Linked DNA regions of Diceros bicornis minor. The protein of the gene in region 3 purifies or fractionates together with the protein of the main gene of each other region. This does not show direct contact. Links are inferred from orthologs where the notes say so. Each region holds a gene or a part of one and is shown on either strand. Other genes may lie near its edges.

What was found.
Region 1: the proteins of PRR3 (region 3) and RBMS1 purify together in Homo sapiens (co-immunoprecipitation; 3 studies listed by BioGRID and IntAct, with this or other methods). This does not show direct contact. The link is inferred for Diceros bicornis minor from reciprocal best matches to the Homo sapiens genes PRR3 and RBMS1.
Region 2: the proteins of PRR3 (region 3) and MRPL20 purify together in Homo sapiens (co-immunoprecipitation; 3 studies listed by BioGRID and IntAct, with this or other methods). This does not show direct contact. The link is inferred for Diceros bicornis minor from reciprocal best matches to the Homo sapiens genes PRR3 and MRPL20.
Region 4: the proteins of PRR3 (region 3) and YTHDC2 purify together in Homo sapiens (co-immunoprecipitation; 3 studies listed by BioGRID and IntAct, with this or other methods). This does not show direct contact. The link is inferred for Diceros bicornis minor from reciprocal best matches to the Homo sapiens genes PRR3 and YTHDC2.

Annotation. Positions count from the first base shown.
Region 1 is NC_080749.1:43,049,092-43,056,686, forward strand, and holds the start of RBMS1 (RNA-binding motif, single-stranded-interacting protein 1), read right to left. Parts: upstream 3,084-7,595; 5' UTR 2,693-3,083; coding exon 2,618-2,692; intron 1-2,617.
Region 2 is NC_080752.1:22,353,780-22,361,734, forward strand, and holds the start of MRPL20 (large ribosomal subunit protein bL20m), read right to left. Parts: upstream 3,066-7,955; 5' UTR 3,032-3,065; coding exon 2,834-3,031; intron 872-2,833; coding exon 794-871; intron 1-793.
Region 3 is NC_080753.1:34,523,956-34,531,921, forward strand, and holds the start of PRR3 (proline-rich protein 3), read right to left. Parts: upstream 3,066-7,966; 5' UTR 2,872-3,065; coding exon 2,763-2,871; intron 2,030-2,762; coding exon 1,967-2,029; intron 76-1,966; coding exon 1-75. Other genes in the region: GNL1 (guanine nucleotide-binding protein-like 1), read left to right, coding at 4,035-4,107, 4,526-4,691, 5,081-5,217, 5,373-5,524, 5,640-5,711, 6,634-6,841, 6,996-7,091, 7,473-7,667.
Region 4 is NC_080740.1:35,982,094-35,989,838, reverse strand, and holds the start of YTHDC2 (3'-5' RNA helicase YTHDC2), read right to left. Parts: upstream 3,006-7,745; 5' UTR 2,812-3,005; coding exon 2,619-2,811; intron 1,416-2,618; coding exon 1,325-1,415; intron 1-1,324. UniProt on the Homo sapiens protein: 3'-5' RNA helicase that plays a key role in the male and female germline by promoting transition from mitotic to meiotic divisions in stem cells.

The DNA.
Region 1 (7,595 bases), on a different chromosome or scaffold from region 3:
AGTATGGTAACAAAACTCATTTTCAAGCGCCATTTTAATTGGTTATCTATTCCTTCTGATGAAAAGAAATCCCATCCATTTATTCTTTCTCAGTTCAAAACAATCATATCCATCTCTTGAGCACAAGTTTAAGTCAAACACCACTTTGTAAACGATGTGCCATTCCTCGGTTTTTGATATAGTTTCCAAACAGAAGTTTCAAAACAACTCTGACTAGCAAACACATCACTGTACTTTAAACAGAGTGATGTTTTCTATCCCATATTTCAGGAAGGTTAAAACACACACACACCCAGGCAAGGATTATCACTGTAGACAACAGATTCTAAGTGAGTTCATGAACTCTTTAGGCAGATTGGGCGATGCTTGTTTTTAAACTAACTACAAATCAAACGAAGTGTCTATTCTTTTTAATGACTCACACCACGTTACCAATAGATATGCAAGGGAGAAAAAAAAAGGGCTATGTGTTCTGAACTGTGCTTACCTAAAATCTGCATCTAGTCACTTTAGATTTTGGGAGATGCCCCTTTCTGAGATAATCAAGATACTTTACAACAGGGAATTTAGATTTAATTATCAAACTTTAATACCATGTTATATAGGTCAAGTGAGTATGTGTGTCTTTCTCCAGAAACAAAGAGATTCAGAGTAATAGGATTTCAGATTTCACAGTAGAAACAACAAGATATGTTTTGAGAATGTCATTTACCGTAACACAAATCAATATTAAATGCTTTATGCAGGAAGCACACTTTCAGAAAATGGGCCCTAAAGCTTTCTGGGATCCGACCCTAATTACTAGAGCAAGCTCTTGCTGTTGTCTCTCTCTTCAATTATTTACAGGGCAAAAAGAGCCAAATGGCATTGCATTAGCTATATTAAATGCTATGTACTTGGTTTCTAACTTACTAATGGTACATAAAAATTACTAAGGTGAATGTGCCTGAAGAAACATGGCCTTTTCTCTTCTTCACCTGAGCGTATGTATTTATTATTCATATAGCTAAGTGTTGAATAGGCTGTCTTTTAGGCACCCAATGCTGCATAATTTAAACAAGCGCATTAAACATATATGATATTTAAAAGGTAGTGCATTGATTATGCCTCAAAATTTCTTTGAACAACTTATATTTACAATGTAGCTCACAGAAAACAAGCACCTCCCTCCAGTCCCTGAAAACAAATAGGTGGGTGCCACACAGAAATGAATAATGAGTATGCTTGCTGCTACCATCTTGCTGCTTTCTGGCGACCCAAAGTAAAATGAGAATTGGGGGGGTGAAAACGAGGCCCTCGAGTGCTAGGAAATTTCCGTCTCTATGTTGACTAGTGTCCTTTTCACATGGACAAACACAAAGCTATGTTGTAGGTACATAAAACGGACCACACACACTGCAAGACAGAAAAGGTTATCAAGGTTGAATCAGCGATTCTTTGTACCAGGCCAGAAATGCCCTCTGCCCGCAAGCAGGGCAAGATTACAACCTCCCAAATAAAGTTCAGACACTGCATCCATACTTGATTGTTTTGTGATCTAGAAGGGCACCTGGAGTCGTGATAGGAGACGCTAATTGCGGAAGAAAGCTGGTGCATCCAACTTCCGCCCTCCCAAATCGTGGAAGAAGCTTCGAAAGCAGTGAAACCCTCAGTCTTCATGGACCCAATTTTTTTTAACGATTTCAGGAGGCATCAAATTCTTATTGTAAAAATAAGATAGGTCCACTAACAAAGTACCTAGGGTCCCTAGAAAGCCAGTCGCAATTTCTACGGCTACATGTCATCAGTGTTACCTAAAAGCATGCCAAGGCCACTTCTGAGAAAGCACCGTTGGAAATCGATCTGTGGTAAACACATAAGGTAGTATTATTCTAAACTAAATACAAACTCACTTCTTTCTCTGCACTGAAATCTGCCCATTGTTCCTGCTTTGCAAAAGCCACAGGGAAGATTCAAAGGGACATCAGTGAACACTGAGTGAACTTTGGCCACTCTTCTACCCAAAACACCAGCGTAAAAGTAGAGATCAGTAACCAGGTGAAGCGCCACACCGCACAAAGATCAAGGCGAGGGGCGGGCGCGCAGGGCCGGAGGCGGGGAGGAAAATGTCCCGTCCCCCACCCCAGGCCCCAGTCATCGGGCGCGCGGGAGGTGGAGGGGTGTCCCCGGGGGGCAGGAAGCTCCGCGCAACTCCGAGGCAAGCCAAGAGTTACTGCTCAAAAGGCAAGGCCCAGGAGAAGGGGTCGAAAGCCGCGCCGCCAGCGGCTCCTGCCGCGGGCCCCAGGCGTCGGCGGCCGAGCAGCCAGCGCTCGGCGAGGGGCGCCGCTCGGCCCCGCGACCCTCCCCGCCTCCTGGCCAGGAAGGGGCTGGCGGCTCTTTCCTGTCTAGTCTCTCCCCCCGCGGCTTGCTGTAACCCGATCCCCGCACTCCGCTGCCCGGGCAGCCGCCGCCCCGCGCGCCGCCCGGCTCTACCCAGGCCAGCGCTATAGTTAGCAACCTTTCATCAACTCCACCGGGGGCGACGGGGGGTCGCTCCGCACGCCCCTCCCCGGACCCGACCCACGCGCGCTCCCGGGGCCCCCTCCTCCGGCACTCCCCACCCCCAGCGCCCCTTTACCTTCGCTTGAAGATACTGGGGGTAGTAGTAGGTGGCGTACTGAGGGTACATCTGCTGTTTCCACACTTTGCCCATGAAGCTGGAAGGGAGCCTGCTGTGCAGGGTCGCGGGCACTTTGGGGTTTCCAAGTCTCGATCTCTCCTGCCTCTCCCTTTCCGGCGGCGGCGGCGGCGGCGGCGGCTGCTGCCGCTGCTCCACCTCCTAGCCGGGACCAGACGTCCTCCCCCTCCTTCTTCTCCTCCTCCCAGGCAGAGAGAAAGACACTGCAGAGCGCAGAGGGCACCCCGGACAGGGCGCTCGCAAGGAGTTGCCTCCCGGAGCCCGGTTGCTCCGGGGCTGCCAAGAGCTGGCGCGCTGGCCGCGCTCGGTTCGGGCGAGCAGGCTGAGCCGGGCTGGGAGGTGATCAATACAAGTGAAAAGTGTTGCTGCGGCGGCGGCGGCGGCGGCGGCGGCTGCGCTCGGTGCCAAGCGGCATCTGGGGTGGGTGCGCCCGATTGGGAGAGGGGAGAGGGGCTGGCGTGCCGGGGCCGAGGGGGAAGGGCGGGCGGGGGCGGGGCTTGGGCGCCGCGGAGCCGGGACCGGCTGGAGGTGAGGGCTGAGTTTTAACCACTCCTCACCTCCCAGGCTCGCGGTTGGACGGGCAGAAACCCTCGGAGCCCGGATCGCTTTGTGTCGGGGGTTGGGGGATGGATTTGGGGGACCCAGCTTAAGAACTGAAGAGTGGACACCTCGTTTGCTTTCATGAGTTTTTATCTCCGTAAGGGGGAGGGGAGGTAAGGAGAAAAAAGAGGAAATCTGATTAATCTCTCACTCCGTCCCCCCCGCCCCCCCCCCCCCGCCCAGTGATTTTTGTTTTTCCACAAGGGAAGGAAAGTGATTTAGTGCCCAACCACAACGCTGGAGTCGGGACACCTGGGTTCTGTTCTCCCCACCCGCCAGGTCACAAGACTAATTTTCTAGGTGACCTTGTGAGGGTTAGTGTCCTTCGGTTTGGTTTTCCCAGATGTGAGAGGTGAAATCATGTCCTCTACCCAAGGGGAGGCAAAGCTCTCGCGCGCGCGCCCACACATACACACTTCACAACAAATAGACGGATCCTTCTAAGGGGGAGATGCCGCAAAGAGGCAGAATGTTATTATTAGAGGACACAATATAGACATCAGCTTTTCTCTGCCTCTTTCTAATGCTGCCAGACAGTCTGTCAACTCCCACTCAGGAGCAAGGAAACTCCCTGAGTTTGGAATATTTTAAGGCCATTTTGAAAGTCACGCTGGCATATTGTTGCAGTGTGCTTCAGTGACATATAAAATCAATCTCGCTCTTTCTGCCTCTCCATCTCCTAATTGTCACAGCTCTAGACAGCCCCAGAGAGCAGTGGTTCGGTTCACTACATAACTGGATATAATTTAATGGAGTTAATTGGTCCCTGAAGCTGCCTGGAGAAGACTTTTATACTCTAGCTCAAAAAGAGAGAATACCAAAATGTACAAACAGGATAAGTAAGAAAGCACCTCCAGATTGGAGTTCTTGCACATCTAATAAAATGTAATGAAAAATTCATTTGTTATTAAATACACCTTGATTACTTTGTTTTGTCATTTTGGTTTTCCGAGAGTCTGTTTTCGTAACCTCACAAAAGTAAATCAAACTGAAATGGCATGCATGATTTTGTTAAAGTTATATTTTTACATGATTACATTTCAAAACAGGTTTAATAAGATACTTAAAACAATGAAATAGTGAGCTGAAAACTTTATAATCTTTTTATGATTTAGACAAATTTCTAGGTTGACAAAACACAATAAATGTAAGTTCATATGAGAACATTTTGGATATGCCAGGAGGCTGATCATGTTCTCTTGAAAAAAAACATTAACAGTTAACTTATGTGAAATCGTCTACGGAAACTAGTATTTACTGAGCTTCTGCTATATTGTGGGCACTGTTGAGGTTAACGTCAGTCTGAAGGTTGGAGTGGTTCACTGTCTAGCTAGAGAAGCTTAAAACAGTTCTTTATATTGTTTCAATGTGGGACCCTTTAACGTTTTCGGGCAGAGAGCTGACGTGAGCTAATCTGTGCTTTAAGAACCTAGGAGGACTAGGAATGATGGTTTGGAGGAGAGATTGAAGGAAGAGAACAAGTTAAGAACAATGTCAGCAGTTCTAGACTTGAGGTGAGAAGGGAAATTACCCGACTTAGGCTAATCTATTTTTTTCTGGATGATGAAAATTCAGCCTGTTTTAGAGAGCCCAGATGCACATCCACAATTATGTAGACACTTGATTTATGACCAAGTTGGTATTGCAGAGCAATGGAGAAAAAATTAGCTTTTCAATAAATGATTCTGGGTCAATTGGCTGTCCATATGGAAGAAATGAAATTGGAGCCTTGCTTCACAAAAGGGGAAGAAAAAAGTTCAAGTGAATTAAAGGCCTGGATGTAAAAAACAAACCTATAAAGCTATTAGAAGACCATATAGAAAAATATCTTTATAGCCTTGAGGTAGGAAAAGATTTCTTTAATATAGTGACCAAGAGTGCAAGATTGATCAATTTGACTATGTTAAAATTCAGAACACTGATTCATCAAAGGATTCTATAAAGAAAGTCAAAAAGCAAGCCACAAAATAGTTATTTGTAATCCATGTAACTGCAAAAGGTTAATATACAGAATACATAAAGAACTCCTTGAAATCAGTAAGAAAAAGAAAAACAATTTGTTAGAACATGGGCAAAAGAATGAATGTGTGTATTTCACAGAGAAGGAAGCACAAATGTCCCTCTGACATATGAAGATGCTCACACTCACCAGCAATAAATGAAATGCAAATTAAAATAATAATAAGATATCATTTCACACTCACCAGATTGGCCAAAATTAAGAACTATGAAAATATTAAGAAAAGGTGAAGATGTAGAAAAGGGAAAAATCTCCAAAACACTCCTTACTGGAGGAAGTGTAAATTGGTACAGCCACCATGTTAGAAACAGTTTAGCATTACTCAATTTCATTTGCATGTATGCTGTGACACAGTAATCCTACTTGTAAGTATATACCTCAAAGAAATGTACATGAATGTTCATAATATACTGAAAATAACTCAAGTGTCTACCGACTGTAGAATGGATAAAAAGACTAGTGTATGTGTACAATGGAACAATTTGCAGCAGTGAAAATGGATAAACTACAGTTAAAAGCATTAACATTGATCATTTCAAAACTGATGTTGAAGAAGCAGATCAACATAAAGCATGATTCCATTTGTATGAAGTTCAAAAACAGAAAAAAAATGGTATGTTGTGTAAGAACAAGTACATGAATACTTAAAAAAAACTGTAAAGAAAAATAAGGGGATTATAACACAAAATTCAGAATAGCTGTTACCTCTAAGGAGAAGAAGGGTGAGATATTCAGGGGTGGACCAAAGAGGACTTGGAGAGACGGTAATGTTCCATGTTTTGCACTGGGTTGTGGATACATGGGAATATACTGTTCCATGTTTTGCACTGGGTTGTAGATACATAGGAATATATTTCAATATTTTTCTTTAAGTGGTTCATAGACTCTTTTGTATGTTTGCTGGAGTTGACACTAACACATTTTAAAAACTCAGCTTTTAACTTTAATCGTGATCAGTTTCAAACAAATACAAAAGCAGAGAGACTAGAATAATGACCCCTCTTTTCCTAATACCCAGCTTCAACATTTATCAACATTTTGTCATTCTTGTTTCACGCACACAATTTTTATTTTTCTGGAGTATTTTAAAGTATATCCCAAACACCATATCATTTTACCTGCAACTATTTTAATATCTATCTCTAACAAATAAGAACTTTTTTTGTAACACAGTATCATGATCACATCTAACAAAATTGACAATGATTTTTTAAAATCAACTAATACTCAGTTCTTGATCATTTTTCTCTGATTATCTAAAAATTGCTTTTTGTAGTTCGTTTATTTAAATCAGGATGAAACAATGTCCTCATTAAATTTGGTTGCTATATCTCAAGCCTCTTTTAATGTATAAAAGTTCACTCTCACTCAGTTTTTAAAGTGATATTTGTTTGTTAAAGAAATCAGGTCATTTGTCCTATAGAATTTCCCACCTAGCTGATTGTAACCTCATGGTGTCATTTAAAGTGATGGTTAGTTCTAGAGGTTTAGTTGCACGCAGTTTCACATTTTGGCAAAGAAATACTTTATGGATGGTTCTGAACACACATAGGTGATGTGCGTGCCATCACATCAGGAGACACATAATGTCTGGTTGTCTCACTTCTAGTGATGTTAATATTGATCAGAAGTTCAGGTATTTCCAGTCTGATTTATCCATTAGAAAATTCTGTAGTTTTAATAGCCATTCATGAGTGTTATCTCAATCCACTATTTCATTAGGGGTTACAAAATTGTGGTTTTTATAATTTTATCATTCCTTGTGCACTTATTAGTTGGAAATTGTCTACAGAGAAGAACTTTCTCTCTTCAACTCTTTGGTTAACTTGAAATACAATTAGCATAGGAAAAACAGGATAAATTTCCCCCTATTTACCAATTTTTAAAATAAAGAGTTGATGCCATAGGAAACTCCAAAGCTAACTAGTTTTAAATAACATTCTGAACTTCTGGATTTTTTTTTTTTTTTTTTTTTTTTTTGCTGAGGAAGATTCACCCTGAGCTAACATCTTTGCCAATCTTCCTCTGTTTTGTGTGTGGGCTGCCGCCACAGCATGGCCACCAATGAGTGGTGTAGGTCCACACCCAGGAACCAAACTGGGGCTGCTGAAGGGGAGCAAGCTGAAATTAACCACTAGGCCATGGGGCTGGCCCCCTGAACTAGTGGATTTTTATATATTTGCTTTGTTTCAATCCATTGCAGTCATTATTCTTGTTAATGCTCAAATTGTCCCATCTTCAGCCAATGGGAAACCCTTTGAATTGGCTCCTGTATCTTTTTTAACAGACCCCAATAGT
Region 2 (7,955 bases), on a different chromosome or scaffold from region 3:
ACAAGAGCCAGACCACATCATCAATCAAGCCAAATGGCAGGTGACTTCAGAAAACTGGAACACTGCCAGTGAGCCTGAGGGGCAGAGAGGTGGGATGGTCTCTGCGCATTAAATGCAGCTAAGCAGGAGGAGTGGATCCTGTTCTGCCACCTGGGACCTGTGTGCCTTGGGCAAAGTCCATCTCCTTTCTGAGCCTCAGTTCCCCATCAGTAAAATGGGGATGTCACACCCTCTACCCTTACCCTGAGAATCTTGCTAAAGCACCAAAGACAGGGCCTGATACAAGGAGAAGCACAACACACACTCCCCTTAACTTTTTCAGAAAAAATTTAAATGCACACAAAAGCAGAAGGAATAGCATAATCACCAGGTTCAACAATTACCAAGATTTTGGGACTCATGCTTAATCTATCCCCTCCAAGACATTTCCTCCTCCTTTTTCACTGTGTGAGTTTCAACTTTATCTGCTACCTCATCAGAAATCCTTCAGTTATATTAAATAAAGTTTAAATTAAACTTTAAAGTTAAAGCTAAGTTTTTCTACCTTTTTCCCTTGATGGGGAAACTCCAGAGCTCACGTCTTAGTACCACATGCCCCATTTCCAATTCTGCTACCAGGAGCAAGGGCAAAGCAAGCGTAGTGAGTCCCTGAACCTGCCAGAACTGGCCCCCCTCCCCAGAGGACAGCAGCAGTGCCAGGGTGCTAACACTCCACTGCCCAGCTGCTGGACCACACCAGCTGGGCCGGTTTCTGTAGAGGGTCAGCATCGCAGCAGGACATCCTCAACTGTACCTTAATTAAATTGCCAATGAATGCCGGGTACTTCAGACCATGTTCCTGGGAGGCAGCTGTAATTCGATTAATCCAGAGCTGAAATAAAAAAACATCAAGATGCTTAAGAACTAGTTCTCTATGTTATGTCCACGCCTTCCAACAAAGTTCTGAGTGAACCAAATGGTTTTTTTGTAAAAGTAAATAGAAAAGCCAATGTTTTCTATTAGCAAACAGGCCTGCAGTACAGATAACAGTGAGCAAAGGCTGATGCATGTCACCCAAGCACCGTTTTTTTTTTTTTTTGGTGAGGAAGTATGGCCCTGAGCTAACATCTGTGCCCATCTTCCTCTACTTTGTATATGGGACACCACCACAGCACAGCTTGACGAGCAGTGCGTATCTCCGTGCCCGGGGTCTGAACCCGAGAACCCCGGGCCACTGAAACAGAGCGCGCACAAACTTAACCACTACACCGTGGGGCCGGCCCCCGCCAGCTGCTTTCTAAAGGAGAAACAGAAAAACCATGTGCTGGAAGGCGTTCATTCAACGCACATTTTTAGGCACTGAGAATACAAAGATGAGCAAGAGATTCTGCAGCACACACAGCTCAGAGTGTAGAAAGGATCCATGTGGATGAATTATGACAGCCACTGAGGTAAGTGCCACCAGGCAAGGATGAAACATTTGAAGTGGAAGCTTCAAGGAGGTGAAGAGTTTTGGGGAAAGAGCAGGCCTGAGGGAGGGAGGAAAGGGGCCTCAGAGGACCCAGCTAGCAGGGAGTAGCAGGGTCTGTTCCAGGTGCAACAAAGGTCTGAAGGCTGCAGGGAAGTCAAGGCTGATGGGGAGGCTGGGGAAGATCTGGAAGGGCGATGTGATGTGGAAGCTTCTGACGGCTCTGGTGCGTTAAACAAGGGGGAGGCCAAGGGGGACTCTCTTAAGCCATTCGTTACTAGTCTTAGGACAGTACTCAAGTCCACTTTCTTCCTCAATTTCACTGGTTCTCAAGTTTGAACCCACACCAGAAGTATCTAGAGGTTTGTTAAAACAGATTGCTGGGCCCCACCTCCAGAGTTTCTGAGTCAGCCGGTGCCGGTGGGGCCTGAAAATCTGCATTTCTAACAAGTTCCCAGGTGAGGCTGCTGCTGTACAGGGAGCCCCGCCCCGCGAGAGCCTCGGCTCTCCTCTGTAGCAGCAAGGGCGTGCGTGCCACCAGATACTGGCCACAACTCTCCACATACGCATCAGTGACCAGAGCCCTGTGGGGTCCTAGGCGGCAGCACCACCTCTATCCCGTTCCGACAGAACAAGGCACAAAAAACAGAGCTGAGCTGGGATGCAGAGGCCCCTCCCGCACAGACCACCGTGCAGAGATAGTTTATCACGCTGTGGCCCTAATCTCGGGTTAATGACACTTTTCTCATTTTAAAGGGTCAGAATTACCTCCCTTATGCATTCAGGCAATACTGACAAAGTGCTACTGATTTAGACCCCTGGTTACAGCATTCAGCAGAACAGAAAGATCTCTTCCGAAACTGCCCTTCTAGCGGGGGTGGGGGGACGAGCAATAAACCACCAACCCAGTAAAAGACGCGGCGCTGGACGCTAAGTTCGCAGGGGAGGGAGCCGAACCAGGAAGGTGGCACGCGCGATGCACGAGCCCCGAGGGCGGCCCGGCTTCTTCCAGGAGCCGTCGGGAGCCAGGAGCGGCCCGGAGCGGGGAGGGGGGCGAGCGGCCGGGGACAGGCCCGGAGGGACCAGGCCTGTCTGCGTCCGGCCCGTCCTACGTGTGACGGGAAGCTTCCCGCCGCTGCTTCCAGGCAGAAGGGAGGTGCGGGCGGCAGAGACGGCGCGGCCGGGCCAAGCGGGGGGCTCCGGCAGGCCCGGGAAGAGCGCGGCGAGGGGCGCGGGACCCGGACGGCCCGCATTCCGCCGGAGAAACGAAGGAGCGGTCCTGCGGCGCCCGCCTCGGGCGGAGGAGCCGCTCCCCGGGCAGGCCGGCTAAAACGCTCACACGTCCTCGCCGCACCGTCCACCCGGAGGGGCCCCGGCCTCGCTCACCGTCCTCATGCTCCTCTTCTTCACCCTTCGGGCTCGCGTACATTTCACAAACGCTCTCGTCACAGCCCGGACGGCAAGCCGGTAGCACCGATTCTTCCTCCCCCGGAAGTGCCGCGCGTGCCTCAGCACCTCCTGGACCCGCCAGTAGCGGTCGGTGAGGCGACTCCGTAGCCAGAGCGCTGTGGTGAGGAAGACCATAGCGCCCGCGGGCCAACAGCCCCTCAACCAGGCACGCGCCGCCGCCTCCGCGCAGCCAGCGGAAGCGGGAGGGCTCCCAGCGCTTCCGGGTCAGCAGCCCGCCAGGGGGACTTCCGGGGCGCCGCGCGTGCGCCCTGGGTCCCCACCGCCGCCGGGCCCCCCACGGTTGTGCGCATGCTCTTGTGCGTGCAAGATGGGCCGGGCGGGTGGGCGGTGGCGAGTTCCTCCCTGCTGCGCTGGGCCCGGCGGCCCTGCCGGACCTCCCGGACGGGGGCGTGGGGCGCGCTGGGCGCGGGGCAATACAGACTAGCCGTCAGCCGATGAGGTGCAGGCGTGTGCTGTGCAGGGGACGCGGGGCCTTGCGGCCGCGGGCGGGCAACAGCTTGCGGGAGGGCGTGGTGCGGCCCTTCGTGTGCATGCGCGGGATGGGAGACCCAGGGACGGAGAGCGGCCCCGAGTGCCTCCGACGGCTTGGGTTCCCTCTGGCGGTGATGGGATGTCCTGAAGCTGGACGGCGGTGATGGTCGCCTACCGCTGTGCAAGGACGGACCGCCCAGAGCAGGACCCTTCAGAACGGTGCACTGTTCACGGTCTGTTTGACCACAGCGGGAAATGGTGCAGGGGGCACATTACGGGTGTGCAATTTCCCTGTCACTTTTTATTTGCATATAATTTCAAACTACGGAAAAGATGCGAGACCAGTTCAAGGAACTACCAGTACGCTTTACCCGAATGCGCCAACTGTGTACATTTTGCTCCGTTTTTTAGTCCTTCTTTCTATAAACGTTTATGAACACAGTGGGGTTTTTGGGGGGACCATTTGAGAGGAAGTTGGCGATATCTAATTACTGTGTATTTCCTAAGAACAAGGACATGTTTTTACAAACCACAGCACAAGGATCGAAATCACGAAATTTGACATTAATACAATACTGTTGTCTAGCCTACAGTCCATATTCCAATTGTGTCAAATGTACTTCATCATTTTTTTCCCTGTCCAGGATCAGGCACTGCATTCAGCTGTTGTGTCTAAGTTTTAGTCTTAATCTGGAAGAGTTCCTCAGCCTTTCTTTGTCTTTCTTGACCTTGGCATTCTTGAAGAGTATGAGCTAGTTATTTTGTAGAAAGCCTCTCAGTTTGAGTTTGCCTGATGTTTCCTCATGATCCGAATCAGGTTTTACATTTTTGCAGAATATTACAGAAATTAAATAGTGTCCTTCTTGGTGGCTGGTTTCAGGAGGCCATGATGGCAGCCTATCCCAACATGAGTGATGTCAGCTTTGACCACTTGGTTAAGGTATCGTTTGCCAGGTTTCTCTACTTTTGTAACTAATAAATAATTTGTTGAGAAATACCTGGTGAGTCATTACAGGCCTTCTGGTGAGCAGACACTGAGGGAGGTAGGAGTGCAGAGGTGGGTTGTGTAACGCCTGTTAAAGAGGGAGGAAGAGGACTGGGCCTGGAGGGCCTCAGAAGGGATGCAGACTGGACAGCATCTGGGCTAACCCAGTAATTCCAAAGTGAAGATTGCCTGTTAGAGAAGTCTCGTGTTGGGCAGAAATGGCCAGACCCCAGTATCTTAGCTGTGCTCAGCATCTGGGACTGCCAGGAAGAGCATGCCGTTGGCTGAAGTGCTGCAGTGGACTTGAAGCTGAATAACAAGTGTGGTCCTGAATGGCTACCTGAGCAGCACACCCCCATCAGCCGTCGGGCTTTGAGACAACATCCTGTTCTTCATCAAACTTGCACTCACTCATTTGAGCATCCATTGTTGATTCTCTAACTCCATCATTCTTTCCATATTTACTGGCATTCTACTGAGAGAAGAGCTTTGCCATTTGGGGGGTGCAATTTTAAACAGTGTTAGAAGAGTGCACTGAGAGGGTGATATTTGAGTAAAGGAGAAAATAACTGATGAAGCCAGGCAGGTATCTGAGGGAAGAGTATGCCAGGCAGAGGGATCAGCAAGCACAAAGGAGCTGAGGCAGCAGCATGCCTGGTGTGGTCCAGAACAGCAGAAATGCCAATGTGCTGGGAGTGGAGCTGGTGAGGTCCCAGGGTCAGGCCTCTGTAGCTCAGTGAGCAAGTCGCAGGCCAGAGACAGAGGCCGGTGAGAATGTGTAGGGCCTTGAAGGTCGTGTAAGGACTTGATATTCTGGTTATCGTGCTGCGTCTGGGCTTCCCCACAGCATGGCAGCCACAGGGCCGTCAGGCTGCTTACATGGTGGCCTAAGGACAAGGCAATGTGGAACCCTATCACCTCCCTAGCCCACCCTGGAAAGTCACGCAGCATCACTCCGGCAGTACTCTGCGAACCTGAATAGTCACAGAAGTCCACTCGATGTCAGGGTGGAGACAGAGCCCCAAGTTCTGGGTGGGAGGAACACAGAGATCACGTTATGGAAAGGGCACATGAGATGGGCGAGGTCACTGGGCCTCTGTGAACAACACAATGTGCCATGTTTGGCTTTTGCACTCCATGAAAGGGAGCCGTTGGTGGGGTCTGAGCAGGTGAGTTGCTTCATCCAACTTATCAATAAGATTACGGCTGCTGTTTTGAGAACAGACTGCAGGGAGTCAAGGGCTCAAGCAGGCAGACGAGTCAGGCTCGGGGCTGGCTTGGCTATGGCAACATTCCAGCAAGGCTGGTGGTGGCCTGGACATAGTGGGTGAGGTGGAGGAGGTGGGAGGCACTCAGGCTCTGAAGGTGGAGCCCACAGGCTGTGCTGGCCGTCTTTGTGGAGGTCCATCCTGCAGCCTTAAAAACCATCGCGGGTAGGGGTGGGGGTGGGGGGGGCCGGCCCGTTGGCGCTGGGGTTAAGTGCACGCGCTCTGCTTTGGCGGCCCAGGGTTCGCAGGTTCGGATCCCAGGCGAGCACTGACACACTGCTTGTCAAGCCATGCTGTGGCGGCATCCCATATCAAGTAGAGGAAGATGGGCACGGATGTTAGCCCAGGGCCAGTCTTCCTCAGCAAAAAAAAAAAAAAAAAAAGGAGGAATGGCATTGGATGTTAGCTCAGGGCTGATCTTCCTCACCAAAAAAGAAAGAAAAAAAACCATCCTGGGGGTCAGCCCTGTGGCCTAGTGGTTAAGTTCGGCACACTCCGCTTTGGTGGCCCAGGTTTGGTTCCCAGGTGCAGACCTATACCACTTGTCAGCAGCCATAGTGTGGCGGCAACCTACATACAAAAAAGAGGAAGATCGGCACAGATGTTAGCTCAGGGCAAATGTTCCCCAAGCAAAAAGAGGAAGATTGGCAACAGGTGTTAGCTCAGGGCAAATCTTCCTCAGCAAAAAACAAAACAAAAAAATCCCCATCCTGACTCTGAGGACTCTAAAGATGTCACCCCAGCCTCCACCTCTCCCTCAGTCTCATCTTGTGCATCTGCTCTCCCACCCTCCCCTCCACCTGGGGCCCGAGACTTGCCAGGACTCATTGCTGTCTTTCCCCATCCCTGGCCCCCTGCATCCAACCCATCAGCAAGTCCAGAGGGCTCTGCCCACAGAGTCATCCCAATCTGCCTGCTTCTCCCACCTCCACTGCTATGCCACCACCATCTCACGGGTACCCTGTGCTTCCCTTTTCCAGGTGCAGTCCGCTCTGCACTTGGCAGGCTCTGTGAGCTGAGGAGACCTCGTCACACTCACATAAACTCCCCAAAGTCTTCCTGTTGCCCTGGGAGTAAAATCCAAGGGCTTCCATAGCCCCTGGGCACAGAGGTGCTAATTTGGCATGACAACTCTCACTTTTGAAAGATGAAATCTATCCTGTAAAACTGTTCACTCAGAAAAATCAAATAATGGCAACGATCTTCTATGAGGTGGGCAGTCAGACGATGGTCCCCGTTTCAGTTGTACCCCCGGGTTTTAATTTATGAGATGGCTGAGTGATGACAGGGAGAGGGTGATGCCATTGAAAGAAGATTCTTATTACATTTCACACCATGCCCCCCAGGGCCACAGGGGAAGCCCCAGTGTCAGCCAGGACGAGGAAGCAGGATCAAGGAAGCTCAGGCCAGAGCCTTTATTGGGGTTCCCACGGGAAAGGCAAGGCAGGGCGGGAAACAGTTTAGGATTGGTTTGTTGGGTAATCCCAGTGGGCCTTGGTGCATTGGGGTTGTCCCCAGGTGTCTGGTACCTGGCCCTGGGTGATTTAGGGCCGGGAGGACATCTGCTGGAGGTGTGAGAGAGAAGGTGGCAGTTGAGAGTATGGGCACTGGATCACAGGGGAGATGTAAACAACTGTGGCCGTTAGTTTGGCCCTGTAATTAATGGATGTCACTAGACAAATATTGAATCTAAGAAAACACAGTAAGAACGCTCCCATGTACAGAACGAGCAACTGAGGGTGACACCCCCATGGTGGACAAAGGGGAGACCATCGGGTTTTGGTCAGATTGTTGCTACAACTCAGTCTCTCCACCAGAGTCTAGAGAAGCCTGGAGCTGCAGGGGTGATAGGTCCGTGGGAGTCAGTGGGGCAGTCCCAGGGCCGGCTACAGGCCCATTACTGGGGCTCAAGCCACTGCCTCCTCCTCCAGGAACCTCTTGGCTGTTCTCCCCTCTGCCCAGGCAGGTGGCCTCAGCTCAGAAGGCAGGAGCCCGGCACACTCCGAAGGCTGTGGGAGCCAGGAGCTATCTGTCCTGCTCTGGCCACGTGGGCTCAACCCTGAGGCGAGAAGCCAGGGCCCCTGGGGCCCCTCTGTGCCCCCAACACTCCTGTTCTCCGCAAAGGGCAGGCAGCGCCTGGGACAGGCCCCCTCGGACACCAGATCCTGGGCCACCTCACCCCACTGCGTCCTCAGGGTGGGGCTGGCCCCTCGGCTCAGCAAAAGCTCTGTGGTGGGGCCGTGGCCACACTCCACAGCAAGGTGCAAAGGGGTCTTGTGGAGCCAACCAGCAGAGTTGACCTGCGTGCCCCTGT
Region 3 (7,966 bases):
CCATTGCATGCACACACAACAACTTATTTATCCATTCTACTGATGGTGGACATGTGGGTGGAGTCCAGTTTGGGGCTATAACGAAAAACGCTGCCATGAACATTTTGATACATGTCTTTGTTACACATATGTATGCACTTCTGTTGAGTATATACATAGCAGAGGTATTGTTGGGTCCTAGAGCATATGTATGCTCGAGTTTCATAAAGTCAAACTCTTTTTTTCAAAGTGGTTGTACCAATTTACACTCCCATCAGCAGCTGTTACACAGTCTTGACCACACTTGGTATTGTCAATCTTTTTCATTTTTCCCATTCTGATGAGGGTGAAAAGTGGTGTTTTTTTAAAATTGTGGTAAAACATGTAGCAAAAAATTTTCCATCTTAATTATTTTTAAGTGTATATCTCAGTAGTGTTAATTCACATTGTTGTGAAACAGATCTCCAGAACTTGTTCATCTTGCAAAACTGAAACTTTATAGCTACTAAATAACTCTCCTTTTCTCCCTCCATCCAGCCCTTGGCAAACACCATTCTACTTTGTTTCTATGAATTTAACTACTTCAGATACCTCATATAAGTGGAATCATATAGTATTTGTCTTTTTGTAACTGGCTTATTTCCTTTAGCATAATGGCCTCATCTATGCTATAGCATGTGACAGGATTTTCTTCCCTTTGGGGGATGAATAATATTCTATTGTATGAATATACCACATTTTGTGTATCCATTCATCTATCAATGGACATCTGGGTTGCTTCCATCTCTTGGCTATTGTGAATAATGCTGCTATGAACATGGGTATGCAAATATCTCTTCAAGATCCTGCTTTCCATTCTTTTGGATATATAGCCAGAAGTGGGATTGCTGGATCATACGGTAGTTCTATTTTTAATTCTTTGAGGAATCTCCATACTGTTTTCCACAGTGGTTGTACCATTTTACAATCCCACCAACAGTGCACAAGAGTTTCAATTTCAAAGTGGTGTGTTTTTATCTTGCATTTATTTAATGACTAATGATGTTGAATTCTTGTTCACATGTTTTTAGCCGTTTAGATTTCAGTTTTTATGAGGTGGCTGTTCCAGTCTTTCGCCCATTTTTCTAACAGGTTGTCTAGAAGAGTTCTTTATATACTCTGGATATGAGCTCTTTATTGGTTATATTTGTCGCAAGTATCTGCTACTCTATGGCTTCCTATTAATTTCTTAATGGTGTCATCAGATTAACAGAAGTTTTTATTTTCTAATGTAGTTCAGTTTACCAATCTTTCCTTTGTAGTTAGTGTGTCTGTATTTCTTGTCTAAGGACTCTTATCTACTCTAAGACCACGAAATAAATTAATTTTCTAGAATTATTTCTTCACCTTTTACACTTAGATCTATAAGCCACTTGGAATTGATGTTTGTATATGGTATGAATAGGAGGTCAAATTTCATTTTTTCCCCCACATGAATGTCCAATTAATCCAGCATCATTTACTGAAAAGACCACTATTTCAGTTTCATCTTCATCATAAATTAAGTGTCCACATATGTGTGGGCCTTTTACTGGACTCTTTTTGCTATCCTAGTGACTTAAATGTCCATTATCACACTGTCATAACTACTATAGCTTTACGTTGTCTTGATATTCAGAGTAAGCCCTCTCACTTCAAGACTGTCTTTGCATTCTCTCAGGCTGATCCTTTGCATTTCCATGTCCATATTATAATGTAGAATGTCTATTTCTACAAAAACATTATAGGGATTCTAACTGCGAATGCATTGATTCTATAGATGAATTTGGGAAAAATGGACATTTTTACGACATTGAGTTTTCCAAACTGTGAGTATACAACATGTCTCCATTTATTTAGGTACAAAAAGCCCTGATATTTTTATTTTAAAGGATATATTCTTTCTAGGTTTCACTCCCTCCCTTTTCCAGGAGCTAATCAAAGGATTAGGGGGCCCCCTCCTCCTCACCTGACTTGGGGTCACCAGGCTTTCCATTGGCCATGGGGGGAGGGCCCAGAAGGCTGGGTGGTCCTAAGAGTAGACATGAAAATATGGTCATCAGAATGGACTAAAGGACTGATGATCCTATTCTTATTATGTTTTTCTTCTATTAGTCATTTCTTAATCCAACCAGTAAAGGTATATTCTTAGCAGTGTTAAGAGTTCTCACCCCATCTATCTGCCCTTTCCTCTGCAAAGCGTTTTCAGGGTTTGCCAAAAGTGGAGACTCAGTCAAGGGGGATAAAGCTGGAAGGTTACCTACAACTTTCCCTTTTCTTTACATTGTTGCTATCCAGACCATCTCAGTGATACCAGAGGTAATCCAATTTCTCTCTTTAACTGCTGGCCAATCAGATAGCTCCCCAAGCCCACGCACACCCCGGTCCCCCGCCCTGACCCGGAGTAGTTTTAGAGAAGGCTGCACTTCCACCTTCCCTGTGAAAGTCTGATCACAAACTGTCATCCCAGTTGTCGCAACCTGCAACCTCTACCACTCCTCTCCCCTGCCACTCTGCGGCTGCGCACACGAGCTCTTTACCTTCTCCCCTACCTTGTTTATTAAGCTTTAGGAGCCAGATTGAAGTTGAGGGTTCAAGTAAGAGAACTCCTCCTTCAGGGCTCCATCCCGGACAGTCCCCTCTCTGCCCCAGCGGGTGCGCCCTTCCTCCTTTCGTTAGAGCCCCCTCCCCCGCACCTTTTCAGCCCCTAACTCCTCGCCCTGACCGGCTGACAGGCATGTGCACACCCCTCCCGGGCTCCTCACCAATGGGACTCCCATCCTCCTCATCTCCAGTATCTTCCCGCTCTGGCAGTGGGGGCTGCTGCTGCGGCGGCTGCTGCTGCTGCTGATTCTGCTTCTTTCGTTTCGGCATCGTGGTTGCGGCAATGGCTGCAGCGGGATTTGGAGGGCAGTGAGGAAGGGGCACGCTGGGATTCTGTTTCCGCTTCCGGGGGGGCGGTGGACAGTGAGGCTGAGGCTCCCGCCATTTCACTTCCGGAAGGCTGCGGGGTCCTTTGTGCGGTGGCGTTCTCACACCAACTGCCTTCCTCGGTCTCTGCCAGGCATGGCGGCAATCTCAGACCGTCCCTTTGCTGCGTTTGTATAAAAGCTTAGAAAAAAAATTCCTCTCTTCTCCCCTCGCTGAAAAAATCCCACAACCGTCTCCTCACAGTGTGCCATAGAGTCGACAGGCTCTCGGCCCAGAAGGCCTGAGAAGAGAGGGATGTCGCATCCTAAGATCGCCACATCCGGTACCCGGTTACTGTGGTAACCGCTGCAGGCACAACTTCGTGCCCTCTGACCTCCCTCCAAAAGTCCTTGTCCTACCTGGATGTCCCTCCTCTCCCGCGCTTGCCCTTATAATCTGTAAACCTGTTCCTTATCATCGTTCCCACAAGGAATTTGGGTCCCAGCAGGGCGGCGCTCACGACTTTTCAGACCACCACCCGCCCCTCAAGACCTCTGACCCTGCCCCCAGTGTAGCCCAGAAACTTGGCTTCAGTCCCGGGACGCGCAGTCTCGGCTTTCCACTAAGGTCACACCCGGGGGTTGGTAAAACAGCTTCTGCGTGTCCACGCCCCTCTCTGCCCCAGGTGGTAGGACCCGCCCCCCGCTCCGCCGCTCCCCTCCAGGTGAGTGGTAGCTTCTCGCCGGCGCGAAAGGTAGTGATGACACGCGTCCCCCCTCCTCCGAACGCGAGTTGGTAGCGTCCGTGACGAAGTTGTCCGATCCTCCCACGCGCGCCTCCTTCCTCGCCGCCGCTGCGCCCTCTCGGTACTACTGGCTCTCACGTGCGGGTAGCCCACCCCGCATCATCCTCTCGCCTCGCTCGCAGAGGGAAGTGACTGTATTTCCCCTCGTCCGCCTTCCACCCCAGCCGCCGGGGCGAATTGGCCGGGCCCGCCCGCTGACGTCACCTCAGAGCCCCGCCCCCTCAAGGGTCCCGGGCCCTTGCGGCGGGGGCTGCCCCGGGGGGGGAGTCAGTTGAGGCGGCGGGAGCTCGGCGGAGGGCGGGCCAGGTGACTGGTCCGGGCCATGCCGAGAAAGAAGCCCTTCAGCGTGAAGCAGAAGAAGAAACAGTTGCAGGACAAGCGGGAGCGGAAGCGAGGTCAGTGCGGGAGGGAGACGAGGGGGCGGGGCTCCGGCTCCCGCACATCTGGAAGGAGGGGTGTGCCTGCCGCACCTCTAGGGGGCGTGGGAGGGGGTGGTGGTCGCGCGCCGAGGCGCGCGGGCGACCGCGGACGGGATTCCTTCATCCCAGCCCCCTAAATCTGGAAGGAGTGGGGAAGGATGGAGAGTTGGGGGAGGGGAATCCCTCCAGCTCGAACGGGGCGCCATCCCCGCAGCTCCCTGGAGGAGGAGTGACTCCCCCCACGCACATCCGGGAGGGTCCTGGGCACCGTGGCTGGGAGGACCGGGCCTCAAAAGAAGTAGGGTGGGGTGAGGGGGAGCCAGGCCGGCCGAAGAGAGGGTCTTATGGCCCCTGCGAGCCTGCCAGCCCTGGCGTCACCGGCTCCTCCCCGCAGGGCTTCAAGATGGGCTGCGATCCAGTTCCAACAGCCGCAGCGGGAGCCGGGAGCGGCGGGAGGAGCAGACAGACACCTCAGACGGGGAGTCTGTGACCCATCACATCCGCAGGCTCAACCAGCAGCCTTCCCAGGGGCTGGGCCCGCGAGGCTATGCCCCGAATCGGTGAGAAAGGGCGGGGGGCGCTGGCCTGGGCCTCCCCGCCCACCCGGAAGTCAGCCGGCTGGGGGAAAGCCGGCTGCTGTTGGTGGAGGCTGGAAACTGGAGGTGGCGGGGCTGGGATGCCACGAGTCTCCGCGGGCCGCCGGGCTCACCGGAGCAGGCCACCGTCTTCCCTTCCGGAGGGGCTGGAGAGAGTTTGGCTTTTAGAAGAGCGAGGCTTAGGGGAAGGGCGAATATTCCATGAAAGAGGGACTTGGGGGAGGGCCGACTCCGAGAGGAGATTTGAACAAGTCTGGAGAGCAAGCTTTGCGAAGTTGTCTGCCCAAGGGGAGAGAAGACGGGACTTTGTGGTCACAGGACTGTGATGGATGCCGTGGCATCTCTCCCGTTAGATATCGGCTGCATTTTGAGCGAGACAGCCGGGAGGAGGTGGAGAGGAGGAAGAGAGCAGCCCGGGAGCAAGTGCTGCAGCCGGTCAGCGCTGAGGTGCTAGAGCTGGACATCCGGGAGGTCTATCAGCCCGGTTCAGGTGAGGGAGAGCCGGACATCCGGGTGTTTGGGGCAGGCAGTGGGCTGAGGGAAGGAGCTCGGAAGAGCTGACGGTCAGGAAGGAGGGGACTGGGATGCACCCTTGAGTCCTGAAACTGTCCTCGTACTGACTTGGACTTTTTCTTGACTTTCCAGTCCTGGACTTTCCCCGACGTCCTCCCTGGAGCTATGAGATGTCCAAGGAGCAACTGATGAGCCAGGAGGAACGGAGCTTCCAGGAGTATCTTGGGAAGATTCATGGGGCTTACACCTCTGAGAAACTCAGCTACTTTGAGCACAATCTGGAGGTGAAAATGGAGTGAGGACAGGAGTGGGGCGGAGTGACCGATGCTCAGATTGGTCTGGGATCAGGCGGGGAGGGACTCTGGGCTCAGGGTCTCTTCTACTGACCTGTCTTTGCAGACATGGCGGCAGCTGTGGCGAGTGTTAGAGATGTCTGACATCATCCTTCTCATCACCGACATCCGACATCCAGTGAGTGCTGGGGGGAAGGCGGACATGGGAGGAGGGAGGAAGATTCCCTCCTCCCATGTGGGGTAAAGGGCGGAGCAGGAGTTGGGAGACAGAGAGGTGTCCTCTTTCCTTTCCAGTCTCCTCTCCCCCATGCTGCTGTCCGCAGTCAGGAGCTCAGTCCCTTATTCATCAGTATGACAGACTGTCACTCCTCCCCTGGCCAACTGACTCTCCTCTCCTTTACTTCCCTTGATGAAAAACTGCATATTCTGTTTCTCAGTCCGCTGGGAACTAGACCAATAGAAAGTCCCCATGTGGAGCTCCAGGAGCTTCTACGAAGGCAGCTGGGGGCTTCCGCCTCTCTTGCCGCATCAGTTGCCATGGGACTCAGCCTCGCCTGGAATGCTAGGGTAGTGGTTCAGGCTCTAGACTCTGCTGCTGGGCATCCCTTGTGTGAATCCTCTCTGCCACTTCACCATTGTCCTCCAGTGGGAGAAAGGGAGGTCTGTGGGGACATGTAGGTTGGAGGTCGTTAATGACATGTACACACACACTCGTACACATATACTCTGCCTCCAGTTCCCCACTCACCAGGCACAGCTCAGAGACAAGACCCTGGTGGGAGCAGATTCTGGGGCAAAAAAGGTAAATGAGCCAAACTAAACTAGAAAGACAAAGCAGGGGTAAGTAACACCTCTGCATTTGTCTCTGAGGGGCTTCCTATGGGTCCTGGTTAGGGATGGAAATGAGCTGAAAACAAGATAAGGAAATAGCGACACCTAGCACATTGGGGTAAAGGCTGGAAGCAGGCACAGGGATGGGAGTTGGGGTAGAAATTAATGTCTATTTTCATGTGCATACAACGGTCTGCATTTGCTCACATGCGTATGTCAACTCTGGGTTGACCTCTCATTGCTCCATCCCGTGACCACCCCTCTCCCAGGTTGTGAATTTCCCACCAGCACTTTATGAGTACGTGACTGGAGAACTTGGCCTGGCACTGGTGCTGGTCCTCAACAAGGTGGATCTGGCCCCGCCGCCTCTCGTGGTTGCCTGGAAGCATTATTTCCACCAACACTATCCCCAGCTCCACATCGTCCTTTTCACATCTTTCCCTCGGGACCCCCGCACCCCACAGGACCCTAGTAGCGGTGAGTGGGCAATGAGGAGGGCAGCATGGGAGAGGCGGGTGGCAGGGGACAAAAGGGAGCACAGAGAGGCTTGTTGACAAGGGGGTTCCTGATCTTGGGCCTAAGGGTGGTGGGAGAGATGGAGTGCTAACCTTTTTGTGCTCTCTGATCTCAGTGTTGAAGAAGAGTCGGAGGCGGGGGAGAGGATGGACTCGGGCCCTGGGGCCAGAGCAGTTGCTGAGAGCCTGTGAAGCCATCACTGCGGGGAAAGGTATGTGCCCCTTAGAGGGAGCTGTGGGAGGCCATGGGGGAGACCCAGGGCCTGCAGTCCTTTTGCTAACCTTTCCCTAAGTCAACCTGTCTATTATGGATGCAGGCCATAGGCCAAGGGGAGGGATGGAAGAGGGAGCAGACTGACTTGGTGGGACAAGCGAGGCAGCAGGTAGTCAGGAGCCCCAGTGGTTACTGCCTTCAGTCTTCCCAGTACTTTCCAGAAACTCAGAGAAATGCCCATGATTCCACGGTGGGGTCAAGTGAAGGCTTGGGAGTTAAGCGTAACTCCAGCCAGTTACATCAGCTGTGCAGTGCGTAGTCTGAGCCCTCATATACTGTGGCCCTGGGGAGAACCTTCTTTTTCTCCTTCCCTGAGCAGTGGACTTGAGCAGCTGGCGGGAGAAGATTGCCCGGGATATGGCTGGGGCCACCTGGGGCATTGGCTCTGGGGAGGAGGAGGAAGAGGAGGATGGGCCAGCAGTCCTGGTGGAGCAACAGACTGACTCAGCGATGGAGCCAACCGGCCCAACCCGGGAGCGCTACAAGGACGGGGTGGTGACCATTGGCTGTGTGGGTAAGGAAGCAGCGGCCCAGGCATGGCAGCCTCCTAGGAGGTCCAGAGTTTCTATGTTTGGAAAAGAGGGAAGGTGATCAGGTCTCATTAGGCTCCAGGGTCTCTGAGGGCAGAGGAGGCCGTCTGCTGTAGTGGAAGGATCATTGCATGCCTGAGTTCAATTCCCCCTCTTCTCAGCTGTTACTGATCTTGAACAAGTTATGAGTCTTAGTTACTTTGTCTTAGTCTAAGTTGCTTAGTCTGAGTCTTAGTTACTCTGATTTTAAAAATGAGGACACTGATACCCAATTAAAAGACTG
Region 4 (7,745 bases), on a different chromosome or scaffold from region 3:
GGAATATTCATACACTTTCCAGCAGAAATATTAATGTGATTAAAGGTGATGCCTATACCTTGTTAAGAATGTTACATAACATATTGCAAATATACCCTAATACCTTTCTAAAATCTGAAAAATCTGAATCTCAAAACATATTTGGTCCAGGTGTTTTTGGATAAAGAATTATGACTCTCTACTTTACTTTTATTTTCAAGTGCAGAATTTTATCTATGCAGAGGACAATAATTTGGGCATGCTCAGGAACCTAACCACTGTTCCCCCGCACTGGCCTTAACGATGTTCAAAATGCACATTCACCTAAGCTAAAGCCTCTGTCTCAGTCAGTAATGTAATCACTGTGGTGGGTACTCATATGCAAGACATCCCTACATCAGCTAATTTCATCTTAGGACCTTCCTACTATTTATTTATTAATATAGTTACTTAATAAAGTTTTGTTTTCCCTCTTCTTAACCTAAAAAGTGGTAAGTTGAAATTTTATTTTTTTTCCCTCTCTCAGTGGTTCTCAACCAGGAGCAATTTTGCTCCCAGGGAACATTTTGGCAATGTCTAGAGGCATTTTTGGTTGTCACAACTGGAGGTGGAGGTGTTACTGGCATCTAGTGGGTAAAGGCTAGGTATGCTGCTAAACATCCTACAATGCACAAAACAGCCCTCCACAATAAAGAATTATCCAGTCCAAAATGTCAACATTGAGAAACCCTGCTATATCTGAATCCCACTATCCTTATTCCCAAAATGAAGTAGCTCCACAGAATTTCAGAGTTCTTCAACTGGAATGGCTCAAATCACTTCTTCTCTGTACGGATCAGTGAACTTTCAAAAAATATATACTGTTTCCTCCTGTTCTGTTTTACCTCATCATTTCTAATCATCAGATTCTTGAGTTGGTAGGAAAGAAAACAATGAACATGCACTCTAAAGCTTACCATTATGGTACAGTAACATTAAAAGAGATAAGTTCTGTAAATAATTGTACTTATTATCTTTATTCCATACATTCTTAGAAAAAGATTTAGCTTCTATGAGAAAAGAAAATATTTTTCTCAAGCAATCAGTTTCAACTTTTAAGCTATTTTTTTCTTACTTTTAAGTAAATCTTAAAATTTATTTCTTTGTTGTCTCCTAGGGAAAACAAAAAAAGGGGGATAGGAGAAATAGGAAAGAGCTGAGTTTGATAGACATGAATCAGTTTATCTACACACAATATAATTAAGGATGTGAATCTAGAACAGTAATAACTATGTAAATGCAATCAGAAACATTTCTCTTTTTTTGGTAACTAGTTTTTTTTAAATAAAAAAAGCTATCAGCTTACCCTTTACTTTTAGAGACCAAACCAAGAGACTGACTCAATCGATGAATAAAGGCTCTTTCAGTACTGGTCAAAGAAGAAGGAAATTCCATTTCTACACGGAAAAAAACACAAAGTACCATTTGAGGATAGGCAATTTTCTTCAAAGGTGCTTCAATACACATATATAGAAATAAAACATGAAAAAAGCCATATAGCGTATAATCAAACGTATTATATTTTATGTGAAAAGTAGATATTAATTCAGTAACTACTGAATGTCTACCAGTTATGATATGAATAAAAATTAAGCCTAAACGTGATAAAGGACTCTAATGTTCACCAAAGATTACTCCTCTTATTTGTGCTGGAATCTTGAACTGGTACAATGGTTGATGATATTTTACTATTTTAACTTAGTCCTTACTTGCTTAATTAACAGAGTGTTTATTTCCTTCCATGATGAGGATGCTCAAGTATTAGGAATGCTCAACATCAAACTCCACTGTCTTTGCCTTCAAAACTGTATAAAATTCATATTCTATCTCATTAGTGATAATTCATCACTATCTCAGACTGGATTTGTTCTATATCGCCGAAGCTTTACCTTTGTTTAACGTTAAGTCCAGAATCACTCTGTCCAGGTCATTCCCTGTTTTGGACTGTGAACTTCCAGAGTAAGGGACCCCCTATCTAGGCCAGCAAATCGGAATGAGCATCATTCTACTGTACCGATTACCACAGGTCGGCTGCTGGTTCCGTATCATGTGACCCAAGACAAGTAGCTTTCTAACCTTAAGAGGTGTGGAAGGAGTCTCCTATACCAAAACAAGTTTCATTTTAAGTGTCTAACGTGATGCTTCTAGGAATTAATCAAAGCACTACAGATTGCCAGTGCATTTATTTGTCTGATTTCCTTCCGCTCTTCCACCTCTGTGGCGCAAACGTTAAGGCTACCACAACCTCCTTTAAAAAAAGAAAGAAGAAAAAAGGTAGGGGCTTACTAATATCTAAAAACTGTGGCTTAGCCGCCCAAAGCTGCCGTAGATAGGCCTCTCCCTCGGGGGAAGAAACGTCTCGTGCAAGGGGGCAACCTGACTTTTCCACCTTCTGATGCCAGGCAAGTGCCCCACAACGCTGCCGATGCGCAGGACGCCGTGCGGTTCTTCAGCTCCCGCCGAGGGTAACCACCGCGGCCCAGGCCCCCGGCCCGCCTCTGCCCGGGTCTTCCCTCCCTCCGCTGGCGCAGCCCCTTCACACCGGGCGCCGGGTTAGGGAGAGGTGGGGCAGCCGGCGGGGTCCCTGTCGGGAACCTCACCTCTCTGGTCCCCGTATCGGAAGCGCTCCAGAGCGATATTGACTGCGATCTTCACCTCCTCGTCTATACGAATGTCCTTCAGCCCCTTGGCGCGGCCGCCGCCCCCAGGGCCACACTGAGAGAGGCCGCCCCCGCCACCCCCGCCACCGCCAGGAGCCGGCGGCCGCGGGGAAACGCTGCTCGGCCTCGACATGGCCCTGAGGAGATGTTCTCCCCGCTGGGGGGCGGCCAGGCCTGCTGGCTGACGGCCAGTGACAGAGACAGGGAGGCTCGGGGGCCACTGCTGGGACCGGACGGCTCCACAGGCGGCCTGCGCTGGGCCGGGGTCACCCCAAAGCCCCCAATCACCACAAGACCCAGGGAGGCGCCGGTGCCACTTAAGCCCGGGCGAGGCCGAGAGCGCGGGCGTAATGACGTCACCAGGGCCGCCGGTGCCCGTGACCTCAGCGCGTCGGCCGCCGTCTGCCTTGGCCGCTGCACACCAATCTAAAGTTCCCCGCCGGTCTGATCCTCTCCGTCTTCCCCCACACCCCGCACCGAGGGGCTCTCGTTCATCCTTTCTTTCAGTCACTCATTACTTTGTTAAATCGTTCATTAATTCATTCAGTAAGCATGTGTGGGCTCCTACTGTGTGCCTGGCAGGCACTATGCTGCTCCCTAGATATGCGTTGGGGAACCAGACAAATCGTTCCTGCCCTCCTGGAGTTTACATTCTAGTGGGGGTAGAATTGCCAGATTTAGCAAACAAAACTACAGAATGCCCGGTTTAACTTCAGATAACTAATAGTTTTTCAGTATTACGCAATTCCCGTGCAGTATTTAGGAACACATATAGTTAAAAAATATTCATTACCCGAAATGCAAATTTAACAGCGTCTGTATTTTATCTGGCAACCCTCGATGGGAGTGACAGACAATAAACAAATAAATGATTAAATGATAGTGCTATATGAGATGATGGAATAGGAAGGTGGAACCCTTTAGTTTGGGAGGTCAAGAAAGATGATAAGAATTTCCATTTGCTTGTATACAAGTCTACTAACATAAACTAAATCCCAGCCACCCTAACTGCTTCTGCTCTGGTCTTCCTATGATCCATTCTCCAAAGAGCAATCAGAGTGATCTTTTTAAAAATATAAGCCAAGTATGATAACACCTCTACATAAGCACTCCAGTAGCTCCCCATTGCAATGACAAAAAAACCCTCAATTCCTTACCATGACCCTCAAGACCCTGCCTGATCTGGCCTCTGCTTACCTCCATGAATCTCATCTCCCACCACTCTCATCCTCACTTACCGTGCTCAGATGCACTAATTTCCTTCCGTCCCTTGAACACACCAAGTTCATTACCATCAAGCAAACTTTCCACTTGCATAGTTTCCTCCTGCACAGGACAATTTTCCTCCCAGTACTTCATATGGATGCCTCTTTCTCATCATTTAAGGCAGGATTCCATCCCTTACCTAGACAGGCTCTCCCACATCAAGCTGTTATCATTTACCACTGTTTGAAATTATTTTGTTTATTATTTGCTGTTGCTAGAATATAAGCTCCTTGAGAGCAGGAACCTTGTCTATCTTGTTTGTCACTGTTTCATCAGCAGCTACAGCTGCATAGACACACAATAAATATTTATCAGTGGGCCATATTTTAGAATCTGGAATTAGGATTGGTCGTCTCTACTCTCCAAAAACTTTCTTCATAATCCTTGAGCTCCTAATTCTCTTTGGTTGGCTGCTAGAAAGAGATCTGGATAAGTAGAGATAGGTCCTATAGTCTAGTCCTAGCATGGTTACCAGTGAACTGGGTGAACATTTACTACTACCCTTATCTCCGTGTATCCTAATTTCCTTAGCTGTGCAATAATAATGCCTGTCATTTATTAAGTGCCAGGGGCACTGTTTTTATTTTCCAGTCCTCACAAAACTTTATGAAGTAGTTATGTTACCTCATGATAGAAATGAGGAAACAGGCTGGTAAGGTTAAAAATTGGCCCAAGTCCATGCTATTGGTAATGTCAACCTTAAAAATAAAACAGGCAGTTATTTTACCTGCAAAACAAGTTTATTCAGGAATAGCCAAAGAATTGCAATTCGAGATGCACATGCTATGGCGGACCATAGGCAAATCCAACAATCAAAGGAGAAGAACACTATTTGATAAGGAAAAAAGGAGAAATTGGGAGAGGTTGTCTTGAGTGAAAGCGATTGGAGAAAAGCAAGAGTTCAGTGTAATGATGGCTTCTTACTGGTGAGTTGCTGGGGTAGTAGATTTCTGTTTGGGATTCACTGTACATTTCTACCTCTAATTGACTATTCTTTCCAGTTATTGACTTCTTTCTGTTGAAGTCTGTAATTGACTAGCTTTCCTGTAATTGACCTCCAATATATGGGAGCTCCTCCTTCTGGCCTCCTGACTTCATTTTAAATGAAATTTCCCCTTATTAATTTTCACAGTAATTAATGAGGTAGGGATGAAAGCCAGGCCCAGCTGATCATGAAGCCTAGCTTCATTTCAGGACAAAACACAGACAGTAGATAATACCTAGATGCACCTAATATATGGTGGTAAAGCTGAAAACATTTTACATGGGGTCAGACACATATTGCTTTCAATCTCACTCCATAACTTCTTAGTTCCACCACTTATTGACTCCATCATTTATTAGCTTTGTGGCTTGACTACTTACTTTGCCTTTTGAGCCTCAAGTTTCCCATCAGTAAATGGGTATATTTAATACTCATCTTATAGAATTGTTGTGAATAGGGCATAATGTTTTGCTTCTTTTTTCCTTCTTGCCATTCTTTTTGGATAAATGTCTAAATGTTTGTATTCCTAGTGCCTAGTGAGGATATGAACATGTTCATTGAAATAAAAGAGAATACCTGGGGCCAGCCCAGTGGCATAGTGGTTAAGTTTGCATGCTCCACTTCGGCGGCTCGGGGTTTGCAGGTTCAGATCCTGGCACAGACCTACACACTGCTCATCAAGCCATGCTGTGGCGGCGTCCCACATACAAAAAATAGAGGAAGGTTGGCACAGATGTTAGCTCAGGGACAGTCTTTCTCAAGCAAAACAAGGAAGATTGGCAACAGATTTTAGCTCAGGGCCAATCTTCCTCACCAAAAAAAAAAAGAGAGAGAGAGCGAATGCTTGCCTAAAGTTACATAGCAGTAAATTATAAAGTTAATCAGATTCTACATTATCTAATATTTTTGTATACCCCTGGAAATTTCTGGGTGCTTGGAGTGAAACACTGCAATTCTACTTTTTACATGTGCTTCAGAGAAAAACTAAAAGTAGGGAAGACATGAAACATTTACAAATGATTTCAAGTTATATTTAGTGTCAGTTAGACCTAAAGTTTTAATCTTTGTTTTTACCACTTTGTAGTTGTGTGGCCTTCTGCAAGGATTTAACTTCTTTATGCTTTAATTTCCCCATCCATAAAATGTATATGATAAACACGACTATATCACAGTGTTATTATGGGGATTAAATTAGATTGTATTACCTTTATGCAGATGAAGTGCTTAGCACAATTCCTGTCTCACCTTTAGCATTCAGTACTAATTAGATGGTTTTGACTTCAAATTACAGAAAACCCAAGCAGAAAAGGCCCAGAATAAGGACATTTATCATTTTATATAACAAGAGGTCTAAGGGTGGGGTGGTTCCAGGGTTGATTATTTCAACATTGTACACCAGTGCCCTCAGTCATCCAGAATCTGTCCAGCCTTGGAGTGTTTGCCATTCCCTTTTGGTTTCAACTTCAAGGAAGCACATCATCAGACAGCACCAGATAAGAGCAGGAAAGATAAGTGCCCGTGTCTGATGTTGCTTTTTAAGAGAGAGAAAAACCTTCCCAGAAGTCCCAGAAATAGACATCTTTATGTCTCCTAGCCAGAACATTGCTAACCCAATAACCAGCAAAGAGCAATGGGATTACCAGGAAAGGTCTGGGCTTTCCTGAAGCAGATGTTCACCTAGAAGAGAGTGGACAAAACTCGGGTTCCCTTAGCAAGGAATAAGAGATGGGGAATGGCTGTTGGGTAGGCAACCAATGATATGATGTGATGTTCACCAAATATTTCTGGTTTTCTTCCTTTGCAGGTATGTAGCAGAATTGTACTTCCTGGCTCTCTTACAGTCGGGTGGAAACATATGATTAGTTCTGGCCAATGAGTAGTGAGTTGAAGTGATATGTGTCACTTTCATGTTGACCTCACTTTTCGCTGTAATTCGCAGCAAACTGCCAACAAAACGTATAAGAAAGAAAATGAATTGTCTTATTCTAATTGGTTTTAAAAACCAAAAACTACAAAAGAACACTGCTGATAAAAATTAAAGACCTAAATAAATGAAAAGATATACTGTGTTCAGGGATCAGAAGACTCCATAGCATTAAGATATCAATTCTCCTTACAGTGGTCTATAAATTCAACACAATCTCAATTAAAATCCCAGCACAGTGTTTTCTAAAACATTAACAAGCTAGTACTTCATATGGAAATGCACTAGAATAGCCAAAACAACTTTTTTTCTTTTTAATTAGTTTTTTATTGAGGTAACATTAGTTTATAACGGTATATGAATCTCAGGTGTACATTATTATATATATATTTTTTTGTGTGTGTGTGTGTGAGGAAGATCGGCCCTGAGCTAACATTTGCCAATCCTCTTCTTTTTGCTGAGGAAGACTGGCACTGGGCTAATGTCTGTACCCATCTTCCTCCACTTTATATGGGATGCCACCACAGCATGGCTTGACAAGCGGTGTGTGTGTGCACCCCGGGATCCAAACCAGCGAACCCCAGCCCGCCACAGCAGAACGCACGCACTTATCTGCTTGCGCCACCCGGCCGGCCCCTACATCATTATATTTTGATTTCTGTGTAGACCACATGACGTTCACCACCCAAACACTAATTGCCATCTGTCACTGTACTCATGTGACCTTTTACCCCCTTCACCCCTTTCACTCTCCCCACTTTCCCTCTGGTAACCACCAATCTATTCTCTGTGTCTGTGTGTTTGTTCGTTGTTGTTGTTTTTATCTTCCACACATGAGTGAAATCGTACAGTATTTGGCTTTCTCTGTCTGACTTATTTCACTTAGTATAAT